Linked DNA regions of Cricetulus griseus. The protein of the gene in region 1 purifies or fractionates together with the protein of each later gene. This does not show direct contact. Links are inferred from orthologs where the notes say so. Each region holds a gene or a part of one and is shown in the gene's direction. Other genes may lie near its edges.

Evidence for each region.
Region 2: the proteins of Atp6v1a (region 1) and ATP synthase subunit gamma, mitochondrial fractionate together in Homo sapiens (co-fractionation; 3 studies listed by BioGRID). This does not show direct contact. The link is inferred for Cricetulus griseus from reciprocal best matches to the Homo sapiens genes ATP6V1A and ATP5F1C.
Region 3: the proteins of Atp6v1a (region 1) and Atp6v1f fractionate together in Homo sapiens (co-fractionation; 3 studies listed by BioGRID and IntAct, with this or other methods). This does not show direct contact. The link is inferred for Cricetulus griseus from reciprocal best matches to the Homo sapiens genes ATP6V1A and ATP6V1F.

The regions. Positions count from the first base shown.
Region 1 is NC_048597.1:46,270,654-46,274,828, forward strand, and holds the start of Atp6v1a (V-type proton ATPase catalytic subunit A), read left to right. Parts: upstream 1-1,299; 5' UTR 1,300-1,980; exon of another isoform or gene 1,981-1,989; intron 1,990-4,175. Other genes in the region: Naa50 (N-alpha-acetyltransferase 50), read right to left, coding at 822-829. UniProt on the Homo sapiens protein: Catalytic subunit of the V1 complex of vacuolar(H+)-ATPase (V-ATPase), a multisubunit enzyme composed of a peripheral complex (V1) that hydrolyzes ATP and a membrane integral complex (V0) that translocates protons.
Region 2 is NC_048596.1:226,990,707-226,994,329, reverse strand, and holds part of ATP synthase subunit gamma, mitochondrial, read left to right. Parts: intron 1-64; coding exon 65-196; intron 197-3,376; coding exon 3,377-3,581; intron 3,582-3,623.
Region 3 is NW_023276806.1:198,350,340-198,354,654, reverse strand, and holds the start of Atp6v1f (V-type proton ATPase subunit F), read left to right. Parts: upstream 1-1,484; 5' UTR 1,485-1,557; coding exon 1,558-1,715; intron 1,716-3,887; coding exon 3,888-4,089; 3' UTR 4,090-4,315. UniProt on the Homo sapiens protein: Subunit of the V1 complex of vacuolar(H+)-ATPase (V-ATPase), a multisubunit enzyme composed of a peripheral complex (V1) that hydrolyzes ATP and a membrane integral complex (V0) that translocates protons.

The DNA.
Region 1 (4,175 bases):
AAAACAGCTTGCCTAAGCAATGTGTTAGCGCGGTGTTAATACTGTAACAGTTTATAAATCCATGGAAGGGAAATACTTTTTCCCAAACGGGAACAGTTAAACAAAAATAACGTCTAATGCTACCCAAGATTTCAAAGACCAAACCTCAACTTTTCGAACGAGCAGCCAAAACACTCCTCTTTGCACTCAGGGGGCAAAACTCTCTTGAAGCAATAGCTCCACCTACTGATCCCGGATACTTCCTTAAACATTTTGGCACCCCAAAGTCTACGCGGCTTGAGTTCGTTCCCCCTCCCTCCTCCACTCGCTCTGACCCAACCCAAATCTCGTTGAGTCACTAGCTCCTAACACTCATCCCCATGCTCTTTATTCCAATTCCTTTTCCCTCCAGAAGGTTCTGCACAGTCCACAAGTAGGAAGAAACCAGAAACGTGTCAAAGCTCGCAGCCACAGCGTGGATCCTGGAGACCGATGAGCACCTGAGGCGGCTCGGCCGTGCGCTCCCGGGAAAAGGCCCCGGGCGCCTACCATACCTCCTCCCGGCTGTCCCACTCGGTGCACACTCGTTCTCTGGGCTGGATTCGTGGACTCGCGCCCCTGCCTCCGCAGGCCCTTCAGCCCGCCAACAGCCGGCCTAGCCTCCGCCCCCCTCCCGGAGTGGGGTGACCGAGGAGCCTGGCAAGGTCCCTCCGGAGGCCCGGTCTTGGCGCGAGTCTCTCCTCGCGGCGCTCTCCGGGTCCACCGGCCCACGCCCCTCTCCCCTGCCCGCCGGGCCCCCGCCGGCTGCCCTCCCTCCCTCCCTCCCTTCCTTCCTTCCTCACCCTTTCATCTTCCCCGCCTGCTGAGGCCGTCGTTACAGCCGCGACCAACGCCGTCGTCCTCGCCGCCGGGAGCTCTCCGCGCCCTGAGCTCAGGCCACTCAACCCCACACGCCGGCCTCTTGGCTGAGGGAAGGGCGCCGAGGGGCCAAGGAGGCCACGAAAGCCGAGCCGGGCCCCGAAGCTCCGGGGAGACGCGGGAAGATCTGTCGCCGCCGCGCTGCTGCCGCCGCCGCCGCCGCTCCTCCACACGTGCACACGGGACACTCCGCTCCCGCCCGCAGCTGCCGCCAGCCAGACCCGCCGCCGCGCTGTGACCTTTCACCCCGCCCCCTCAGCGCGCCGGCGCGGCCGCCGCGTCGCGCGCAGCCGCAGTGCTCCGTGCCGCGCGCCCCTCCCCCCCAGGACTTCCCCCCCTTTGCCCTGGGCTGGGCCTCCGGGGGGCTAGCTCCGCCCACCCTTTGCGACACTCCCGCCGAGCTTGCCCGGTAGGCTCCGGCGGTAAAATCCGGATCCTTCCGCCCTTCCCTCACTGCTCTCAGATCTGCAAGATCGGTCTTTCCCGCGCCCCTCTCCAGTGACCTTCAAACGCTCTTGTCGCCCGATAGGCTTTTATAAAACGGGTTCTTCTCGATGTAGGAGAAGCCTGTGGAGACCTGCAGTAAATGTGTTTTAAAAACCAAAAGGTAACGAGGGGCCCGGATAACTTGGCTATCTTCCAGCAGGCAAACCACGGTTTTGTTTTTTTTTTTTAATCACGTGATAGGCTGAAGCTTTCCAGCCAGGATTTTAACTCGGGACTGAGAGAGGCGGGACTCCATCGCCACTTCCGGCCCCTAGAGCGTGACTTAACGTCACTTCCTTAGCAATGCACTTTAACCCTTGCCGTCCTCGTTTTCTGTGCTGCAGTTTATAACCCAGTCATAGCGAAAAAAGGACCTAACTCGTTCATTAGCCACGCAACCATTCACATCCAAGCGACCTGCTAGGATTCAAGACTGGCGAGAGGCGGCGTGGCTGGGGAGGAGAAGCAGGGTGGAGCTTGAGGTCACATGACCAGGACGACCCGCCCCTTGCAGCTGAAGTCTTCCCCTCCCTCAGTGACAGAGCCTCTGGGTCCCGTGTAGGTACTGATTCTGCTCTTCGCGCCCCGGCGGGTCAGGTGCGACAGGTAACCGGCGACTGGTGGGGACGATTGACGGGGAGAGAGGAGATGGGGACTGGGGAGTGCGAGCGGCGGCCTGCGGTGCTGGGGCTCCTTCCCCGTTGTCATCCTGCACTGGCTGGTTGGTAGCTCTTTTCTCCAGATCTACATTCTGGACCCCTGGCTCGTCCCCGAAGTCCACTGGCGAGGGATTAAGATGCCCACCTTTGCCTGGGTTGAGAGCGAGTGCGGCCATTACGGTTCCCTATTTGGAGTCGTTGGGGCTTCAGGTGGTAGGATTGCTTTAGCCATTACTCCGGGTTTGCAACCACCTCCAGGTCCCATTCCCCAGAGCTCCTTCCCCTGGCAAAGGCCTTCGTCCGGATGAGCAGGAAGATAGGAGAACCCCCTGGAGGCAGAGGCGTCTCCGGTGAGACGGGCTTGGGAGGGAATGTCACTGATACGGCCCTCACTGCAGAGTCACTGAAGAACTGCCCTACGAATGTGCATTCTCGGTGATTCTAAGGGTCTTATCGGACATCCCTGCAGAGAGGTTCAATGAGTGTTCACTTGCTCCGGATGAGACTGGAAGGGCAAGAGCAGGGCTTACAGCCTTTTCTTTTCGGAGAGAAGGCCGTGGTACTGTCTTCAGAACAGGGTGTTTGGTAATGCGACAGTTGAATGAGAAGGCAATGAAAGATGGTGTTGCCTGGTTGGGCTGGAGACCTAGGCTAGCTTATGGGAAAGTGACGAGGTTTTCCCGAAAGGGAAGTAATTCTTCCGAAATTGATCAAGCTGAAAATATAATTAATCCAAATTCATTTGGCTATAATTTAAAAGCAGGAAGGTTAAGCCTAGATATTACTGACTTGGTATTTTCTGTGATGTCTGTGGCATCCTTCCCCTTTTGGGCATTTTTTTTTTCTTTAAATCCTACATAATTGTCCCTCCCAGTCAATTCCTTGGCCAGTTTAAATTTGTGGAGTGTGTTTTTAATTAGCTTTTGCATTTGCAAAAAAAAAAAAATGAAGTGACCTCTTCTGATTTGGGTGTATAATATATTGTGAAAATACAGGAATTCTTTTGCCGTAGAGTTGCCCAACCCTTTGTACTCCCATTTTATATGCACTGTAGTAGCCACTGTTTTGATATCAAACAATGAGCTTTAGGAAAGGAATGTTTTTCAGTTTGTGGCTAAACTCATTTATTTATTCTGCAAACTTAGAAAGTTCCTTGTTTTAAATTACACATTTGACTTTTATACATTTTCTTATATGGTTTCATGTTTTTAGTTAAATCTTAGTTCTAAGCAATGTAATTGAAGAATTTACTTTTTAAAATCTGCTGAGGACTGGGAATATGGTTCTTACCTCCATGAATGCTTGAGGCTTTAGATCTAGTCTTCTGAACTTGAAAGTTAAAAGGAAAAAGATGGAATGATTATCTTCTAGTGATTTGTCAGACTGAATTTTTCCCCTCCCACGTTTTCTGAAATTACATGATCTTATTTGTTAATGAGAGCTGCAAGCTAAAGTAATGATAGCAATTTAACAAAATAGAAAGGTTGGCCTATTTGATAACTTCTTACAAAAAATATCTTGCACTGCCCAGAAAAATCATACTGGTTTTTGTATTCATATTTACAATTTTACCATTTTGTGATCCACAATAGCTATTGATAGGTTTATATAACAAGCATAAATATAGGTTCTTAAATAGTTTGTTCCTTTTCATTGCTAATCATTATTCTGTGGTATGGATAACACCACAGTTGGCTCAGCCATTCACTTGTTGTCATTTTTATTTGCATGTGTGTGCCTCCCAGAAGTGTCTTCCTCCATTCTCCCCCACTCCTTTTTTTTAAAGGTAGGTTAGCTCACTGATTCAGCAAGCCCCAGGCATCCTTCTGTCTCCATTTGCCCCTGAGCAATGAGGATAAAGGAGCACCAACATACTTGACTTTTGAATGCATGCTGGGGAGCCAAACCTGGATTTTCATGCTTGCAAAGCAAGCACTTTAATGACTGAGCCATCTCCTGAAATACAGTATTAGCCGTTGTTTTTCTCAAGAGTGAGCTTCCCTGATCTCTTGAGGAGAGGGAAAAAATGGTTTTGGTTTCCTGCCCATGTGACATTCCACCAAATAAACAGAATTCCTAAGTGCTTTGGAAGTCCAAACCAGTTCTGTGCAGGTGCACCAAAATGGACTAGAG
Region 2 (3,623 bases), on another chromosome or scaffold:
TCTGCATTCACAGATGAAATTGTACTTAGCTTCCTTTGTCTGACCTGGCACTTCACCTTTTTAGTTACCAGGAGACTGAAGTCTATCAAAAACATCCAGAAAATTACCAAGTCTATGAAGATGGTGGCAGCTGCGAAGTATGCCCGGGCTGAGCGGGAGCTGAAGCCAGCTCGTGTGTATGGAACAGGCTCCTTGGGTGAGTTAGGAAGAGTGTGCCACGAGAGATGGTGTGCTCATAGTGAATCTAGTGCTGGGTGGTTTGGTCCACTTTCAAAAGCCTAGATGTACCTGGGAAGAGGGAGTCTCAACTGAAGAATTGCCCCTATGAAAATGGCCTGTGGTCATGTTTTCTTGATGGCTAATTGATGCAGAGAGACCCAGCCCACTGTGTATACCATCCCGAAGCAGGAAGACCTGAGCCGTATATAAAATAAGTAAAGAAAGCCAGCAAGCAACAGTCCTCCAAGGCTTCTGTTTCAATTCTTGGCTCCCTGAGGTGATAAACTGTTAACCTGGAATGTAAAATAAAATAATACCTGTCCTTTCCAAGTTGGTTTGAATCCCTGTTTTATCAACAGAAACCAAGCCTGTCCTGAACACTCAGCATTTATTCACGTTTTCATGTATGCACTTGGGTTATTGCATTACCATCTGAAGGGCTAGGAAATGGTGTCATCTTGCTAATAACCTTGTGTGCAGTTTTAGGACAGGGAAAACAGACAGGGCAACTTGGTTGTAACTATATGATCTCTTCTTGAATTCTTTTCCTACAGGGAAAAGTGGCATGGTATTTTTACAACTTAAATTTTGTGTTTAGATGATTTTATGCTGATTTGATTATTAATTTGTCTTAGAGATAAGCAAAAGAGGTAGGAAATTTCCCATCCTAACTGTAATTAGATAATCCAAATTCTTTCAATGCTGTGCTATGTTTGATTGAAGAAATCCATTTCAAAGAATTTTCTTTTTTCCTTTTTTCTTTTTTTTTTTCTTGGTTTTTCAAGACAGGGTTCTTTGTGTATCCCTAGCTATCCTGGAACTCACTCTATAGGTTAGGCTGGCCTCACACTCAGATATCTGCCTATCTCTGTCTCTGAGTGCTGGGATTAAAGGCGTGTATCACTGTCACCTGGCAGAATTCTTAACTTACTATGAGAAGTTTGAAAGTGATGGAGATTATATAGTAGGTTAAGATTTGTTCCTGTTGCTCAGTCTTTTACAGCCTTCTAGCTGATGCCCTTGCTTCTTTTCTAGTTTTTCTCACCCTAAGCTGCAGTAATTACCTGTGAATAGCTTCATTCTGTCCCTCCTGCAAGTTTCTTTACAATTAGAATGCAGTTGTTAATGACCCTCAAGTCCTTATGCAGTTCTAATCCTGCTTCACCTCCTCTGCCCACACTGTTGCTGCTTTCCTTTGTAAGTGGAAGTTTCTGCCCTGCAAGCTGCTCCCAAGTAACCAGAGACTTAATGCTAATCATAAATGCTGCCCAATAGCTCAGGTTTGTTATTAGCTAACTCTTACATTTTCAACGAACCCATATTTTTATCTACGCTTTGCCATGTGGCTTGGTACCTTTTCTCAGTACAGCATGTCCATCTTGCTTCTCTCTGGGTCAGCTTACTACTCCTCTGACTCCGCCTTTCTTCCCAGCATTCTCTATTTGGCCTTCCCCCTAACCTTATCCTGTCCAGCTATTGGCCAGTCAGCTTCTTTATTAAACAAATCACAGGCACATATATTCACACAGTGTAAAGGAATATTGCACATTCCTTAGTGGCTTTATGTGGGTTTCCACTGACTACCTGTTCTGTAGGCCTCCTCAAGCCATCTTATTCTCAGTGATGTCTCTTTCAATAAAGAGACACAGAAAATGTAGACAGCAGTTTATTTAGCAAAGCACACTCTCCAGAGACTGGAGTGGGCTGCCCATAAGGGCAGGAGAACAATGAATTCCCCCATTGTAGATTTTAAAGAAATATTTTTGAGGTGGGTGGCATATTCCAAAGGTAAGAGCCAAAGTAGAAAGTTCACCATGAAGATATCAAAACCATATTATAAAGGATACTGACATATAGCCAAGGTCTCTTGAAGATGCAGACCTGTTTTTAATTAATGCATGTGTGTGGAGAATGCTCTGCTTTTAAGATTTTTAATTATGTGTCTGTGTAAAAGTGCCCATAGAGGCCAGAAGAGGGTGTCAAATTCCTTGAAACTGGAGTTAAAAGTAACTGTAATGCATTGGGGTCTGGGAACCCAACGCAGGGCTTCTGCAAGATCAGCGGGTGCTCTTTACCATTGAGTCATTTCTCTAGTCTGTGCCTCAGTTGTTGATGTGGCAAGAGCAGTCTTTCTCCAGTCTCAGGGACATTTACGCATAAAGGAACATTTTGACAGTCAGGAGACAGACCCAACAAGATCCAGTTACAGTTTGCTTGATGACTTTGTATCTAACTCCTTTGAGATTGCTCAGGATCCATGTTGACTCTTATGACTGCCTATTGATTGAATAATTGAGGCATTCTTACAAATTTTGGACCAAGATTTTAGTACAAACAAGGTTTATGCTGTCTTCTAGGACTTTCTTCTCCCCACTCTACCATTCAGGTCTGTTTTATGTATATGTTCTGTGTGTATATAGAAGACAGGGGTGTATACCTTCTCTCTCTCTCTCTCTCTCTCTCTCTCTCTCTCTCTCTCTCTCTCTCTCTCTCTCTCTCTTCCAAGACAGGGTTTCTCTGTATAGCTTTGGAGCCTGAGTTGGAACTAGCTTTTGTAGACCAGGCTGGTCTTGAACTCACAAGCGAGCCACCTGCCTCTGCCAGGAATAAAGGTTTGCAACAACACCACCTGGGGATCTAGGTATCTTTAATCCCACTTAATGTCTTCTTTGCCACTGCTTCTTGGAAAAACAGACCAGAAAAGTTGGTAAAGTAATGCTACATATAAATTCACACCCATAACTTCAATATCAATAGTTACTATAAAATAAGAGCTTGATGTACAGATTACATGAGAGGTTAAGTAAATGCTTACTTGCTACTTTTTTTTTAGCTGTATGCTGGGAATTTACATTGTATAAGTCTGGTATCCAATTAAGCAATTATTTTTGTGTTCTATCTTCCCTTTTGGTTGTATCTAGGCATTTTGGTCAATTTTTTTTTTTTTTTTAAACTGGCCACTATTTGATCCTTAGGAACCTTTGTGATGTCCTTCCTAGTTGTAAATGGAATAAGCACACAAAAACCCTTGATTATACTCATAGGTGCCACCTAAAAAAAGTGCATAGTGGAAAAACTTCAACAACTTGAAATTAGAGATTGCCACTACATTTACTGTAAATTTTATTTCTGTACTCTATTTTTTTTTTTTTTTCAGCTCTATATGAGAAGGCTGAAATTAAGGGACCCGAGGACAAGAAGAAACACCTTCTTATTGGTGTGTCCTCAGATCGAGGACTGTGTGGTGCTATTCATTCATCAGTGGCTAAGCAGATGAAGAATGAGGTGGCAAACCTTACAGCAGCGGGGAAAGAAGTGATGATTGTTGGAATTGGTGATAAAATCAAAGGCATACTTTATAGGTAAATGTGATATGTGTTCATGTTCAGAAGAATGGAAACATG
Region 3 (4,315 bases), on another chromosome or scaffold:
AAGACAGTTTTAATATTTAGTCCAGGCTGACCTTGAGCCTGTGGCAATCCTGCTTCTAGCTCCTAAATACTAGGGTTACTTCTATATAGTTCTCTAAATTTAGCAGCTAACATAAGGCCTTGGTGCTCTGCAGCACTACTCAGTGTCAACAATTTGCCCATTTCTTTATTATATATATTATATATATATATATAATATACATATATATATTGTCGTAGTTAACATGCATGTATACATGATACTGCTATAGACCTTGACTTTCTAGCTAGGAAATAACTTTTCTTCGACAATTGTAGTAGCACATGTCTATAATCCCAGTACTGTAATCCCAGACTGAGGCAAGAGTTGGAGAGTTTGAGGACTGTCTGGGCAAAACAAACAAATGAAGCAGGCAGGAGGAAATAATGAATCCCTGTAATCCCAGCATTCAGGAGGATGAGAGGCAATAGGATAACTCACTGCAAGTTCAAGGCCAGCCTGGATTCTGAGGTCCAGGCAGCAAAGGTTACAAAAGATAAACTACCTGATAAAACCAAAACAAAGGGTAGGGGGTGTGGCATGGTGGCCAAGCCTTAAATTCTAGTACTTTCGAGGCTGAGACAGTAGGATCACCAAAGGTTTGAGGCCAGGTTAGGGTAAAATAGTGAAACCCTATCAAGAAAAAGAAAACAAAGAGAGGGAGGGAGGAGGGAGGAAGAAAGGAAAGAAGGAAGAAAGAGAAAGAGAAAAAGGAAGGAAGGAGGAAGGGAAAGATAAGAGGAAGGAAGGAAGGAAGGAAGGAAGGAAGGAAAAAACAAAAAAAAAACAAAAACAAACCACACACCGAATTGACTAGATGACCCTAAGGCCCACCTAGTGGAAGAGATGCTCACAGGGTGTACTATGACCTCACACACATGCCCCCACCTCCGTGCCCCTCTTGCGAGCCTCCAAAAGAACAAATGTAACAACAGAAAAAAAGTTTTTAAGCAAACAAACCATACACATACTCTGTTTTGTGTGGAAAGTAGCTGCGGGATCAGGAATTCAAGGCCATCCTCTCCCTACACTGCAAATTTAAGACTGGTCTGTTCAAAAAGCCAAAAACAAAACATCATACCCCCCAACCCCCACCCCCCAAAAAAGAGTATGCCCCCTGGGGTCTCGGTCTTCAATAACTCTAGGTTCAAAAAAAATGTTGCTTCCAGAAGAAGGAAGGACTAAAGGACAGAGAGAGAGAGAGGAGAGAGAGAGAGAGACAGAGGGAGGGAGGGAGAGGAGAGAGAGGAGGGAGGGAGGGAGGGAAGGGAGGGAGAGGAGGGAGGAAGGGAGGAAGGGAGGGGAGGGAGAGGAGAGAGAGGAGAGAGAGAGACACGGAGGGGGGGTTAGGCTTGTGCCGCTCAGCCTTCTGGGAGATGTAGTTCCATGGTTCCGGCCTCTATGGCGCAGCCGGACAGAGGCGTGATCCTGCTAATGCGCATGTCCAGGAGGCGGGGACCCCGCGCATGACTGAGGGCGTGGCCGCCGCGGGGGCGGGACATCTCAGGTGCTGGGGGAGCGCTCCGTTCTGCCGACAGAATGGCGGGCCGGGGTAAACTGATCGCGGTGATTGGAGACGAGGACACGGTGACGGGTTTCCTCCTGGGCGGCATAGGGGAGCTTAACAAGAACCGCCACCCTAATTTCCTGGTAGTAGAGAAGGATACCACCGTCAATGAGATCGAAGACACTTTCAGGTACGGTAGCCGGTGAGGCCTAAATGGGTCCTTCTGCTTGTTACAAGCGCGGGGAGAATTAGGGCCTGTTTACCGGGTGTCAGGCGGCGATGGGGATCGGGATGGCACTGGAAGCTGTCAGCCCGTCCGGAGCAGAGGCCTCCGCCGCCTAAGTTCCCCTTTGGGGCTCAGAGGGGCCCCACGTAAGGCAGGTCCACGAGCTCCGGGTCCGTCACATGATTGTGTGTCAGGTTAGGAGGAGAGCCGGGCCTGTGATCCGCCTCTGCCTCTGCCGGCCTCCTGGAGGAGCTTCAGTCGGTGGCTGAAGCAGGCTCAGCGTTTCTTCCGGGGTCCCCGACGCTCACCTGTAATGCATTCGCTGGACCTTAGTTTTGAGTCATATCCTAAACAAACCACACCCAGTGTGGGTCTGGACAGTGGGCTGTGTGTGTGTGTGTGTGTGTGTGTGTGTGTGGTGTACACACAGCTTCATTTTTCTTAGATGCTCACAACTGTCCTGTAAAGTAGTGTTTATCCCCAATTACTGGTGAGAAAAATAAAGGGCCGATAGGTTAAGGCACAGGCCCAAAGACACACCAGCTGTAAGAAGCAGACCCTTCTATTTGTTTAAGACAGTTTCTCTGTGTAGTCCTGGAACTCTCTCTGTAGACCAGGCTGGCCCTGAACGCAGAGATCCGCCTGCCTCTGCCTCCTGAGTGCTGGGATTAAAGGCGAGCACACCACTAGTCTGTTTTTATGTTTTAATTACCGAGTCTGTTTGTGTGATGTGTGACTGTGGGTAAGTGCTTGTCACTGTGTACATATGGAGGTCAGAAAACAACCTTGTGGAATCAGATTTCTCTTTCCATGGGCTTCAAGGATAGAAAAACTCAACTAGCCAACAGGCACATTTACCCACTGAGCCGTCTTACGCTTTCTTATGCTGGTGCCTACTCTTGTTTCTGTAGCTGCCCTTCAGTCTGCCTTGGAGTTTCCATTTGTCTTGAGCACCTTGGGCAGAACACGTGGAAAGTATGGCCTTCCACAAAGACCTGCACTTCAGGCCATCACTTTGTGCCCTAGGTCAAAGATCATAGTTTCAAATAGTGGGTGCAGGTCTTCCAAGCCAGGAAGTGCCCTGTTGATTAGAATCGAGGGAGCCAACACCCTATGCCTTCACTCCTTTTCCAAGGCTACTGTGCCAAGTCTCAGGAATAAACTGCCCTCACCTGTTTTCCCTAAACTGCCCAGTCAAGGCATGCTGGCTGAGGCTAGTTCCCACTGCCTGGGCTGTGGCAGGCTCCGACCTGGGAGAGACTGATCAGCTGATCTCTAAGCAGCATGATAAAGTGACCTCCGTTGTCACCGGAGGACAGATTTTACTTCTAAGAAGTTTCCATGTTTCCAGCAAGAAGGGATCCTAAAATGATCAAGTCAGATCTATTCCATGCTTGACACAAAGTAGGTGCCCAGTAAATTATTATTGTTTTCTTTTTCGAGACAGGGTTTGTGCAGCCTTGGCCTATCCTGGAACTCAATCTGTAGACCACGATGGCTTCAAACTCAGTGATCTGCCTGCCTCTGCCTCTGCCTCCGAGGTGCTAGGATTAAAGGAGTACCTCTACTGCCTGGCTTGCTTTCTTTTCTTTCTCTCTCTCTCTCTCTCTCTCTCTCTCTCTCTCTCTCTCTCTCTGTTTTTTGGGGTTTTTTTGGTTTTTCAGTAAATTATTTTTAATGAGCAGATGGCTGAATGTGCTTGTCTGTGTGTGGGGGGTGATCACATGACAAGGCCATAATGACAGTTTCTGTCTGGAAATTGTGATTCCGTCATTGCTGAGTTTCCTCTTTCCATCTTTTCTTTGACTTCTGGCAAATGTTGTCCTGGCCTCATCAGCACAGACCTTGAGGCCTTCGGGGTCCCCTCAACTCTATATTTTAAAATTTCTCCCTTCTCTACCTTCATCAATAGTAAGAGTCTTATGTTTCTAGAATCTTCTTATGCAGATACAAAGAGCCTCATACCTATTTCCTTCTCCTCCCTTTTCCTACCCAGAGGCAGCATGTAGAACACACTGACATGCACCCCAGTCAGTGTGTTTCTGAGCTCTTCATCCATCTCTCTATATTCTATAGTTGAGAGAGACCCTTGTACCCCCAAGTCACTGCCATTCTCCTCCTTTGTTGTCCCAACAGGCAGTTTCTGAACAGGGATGACATTGGCATCATTCTCATCAACCAGTACATTGCAGAGATGGTCCGGCATGCCCTTGACGCCCACCAGCGGTCCATCCCGGCTGTCCTGGAGATCCCATCCAAGGAGCATCCATACGATGCGGCCAAGGACTCCATCCTGCGCAGGGCCAAGGGCATGTTCACCGCCGAAGACCTGCGCTAGGGCTCCCCAACCCTCAACCCCCTCTCACTACCAGGCCTCTCCCAGTTTGCCATCCTCTATTTAAGTTTGAAGTCTTGGTTTCCAGCCCCTCCCTTTCTTTTCACTGAGTGGCTGCTAAGCTGCTGGGGCTCTGCTGTTGAGATCCAGGCTGGTTAGGGAAAGAAAGCCCAACCATCTCTCTCCACTACCTCCTCCCTGTGCTGTTACACAGTGTCATTGTTGATAT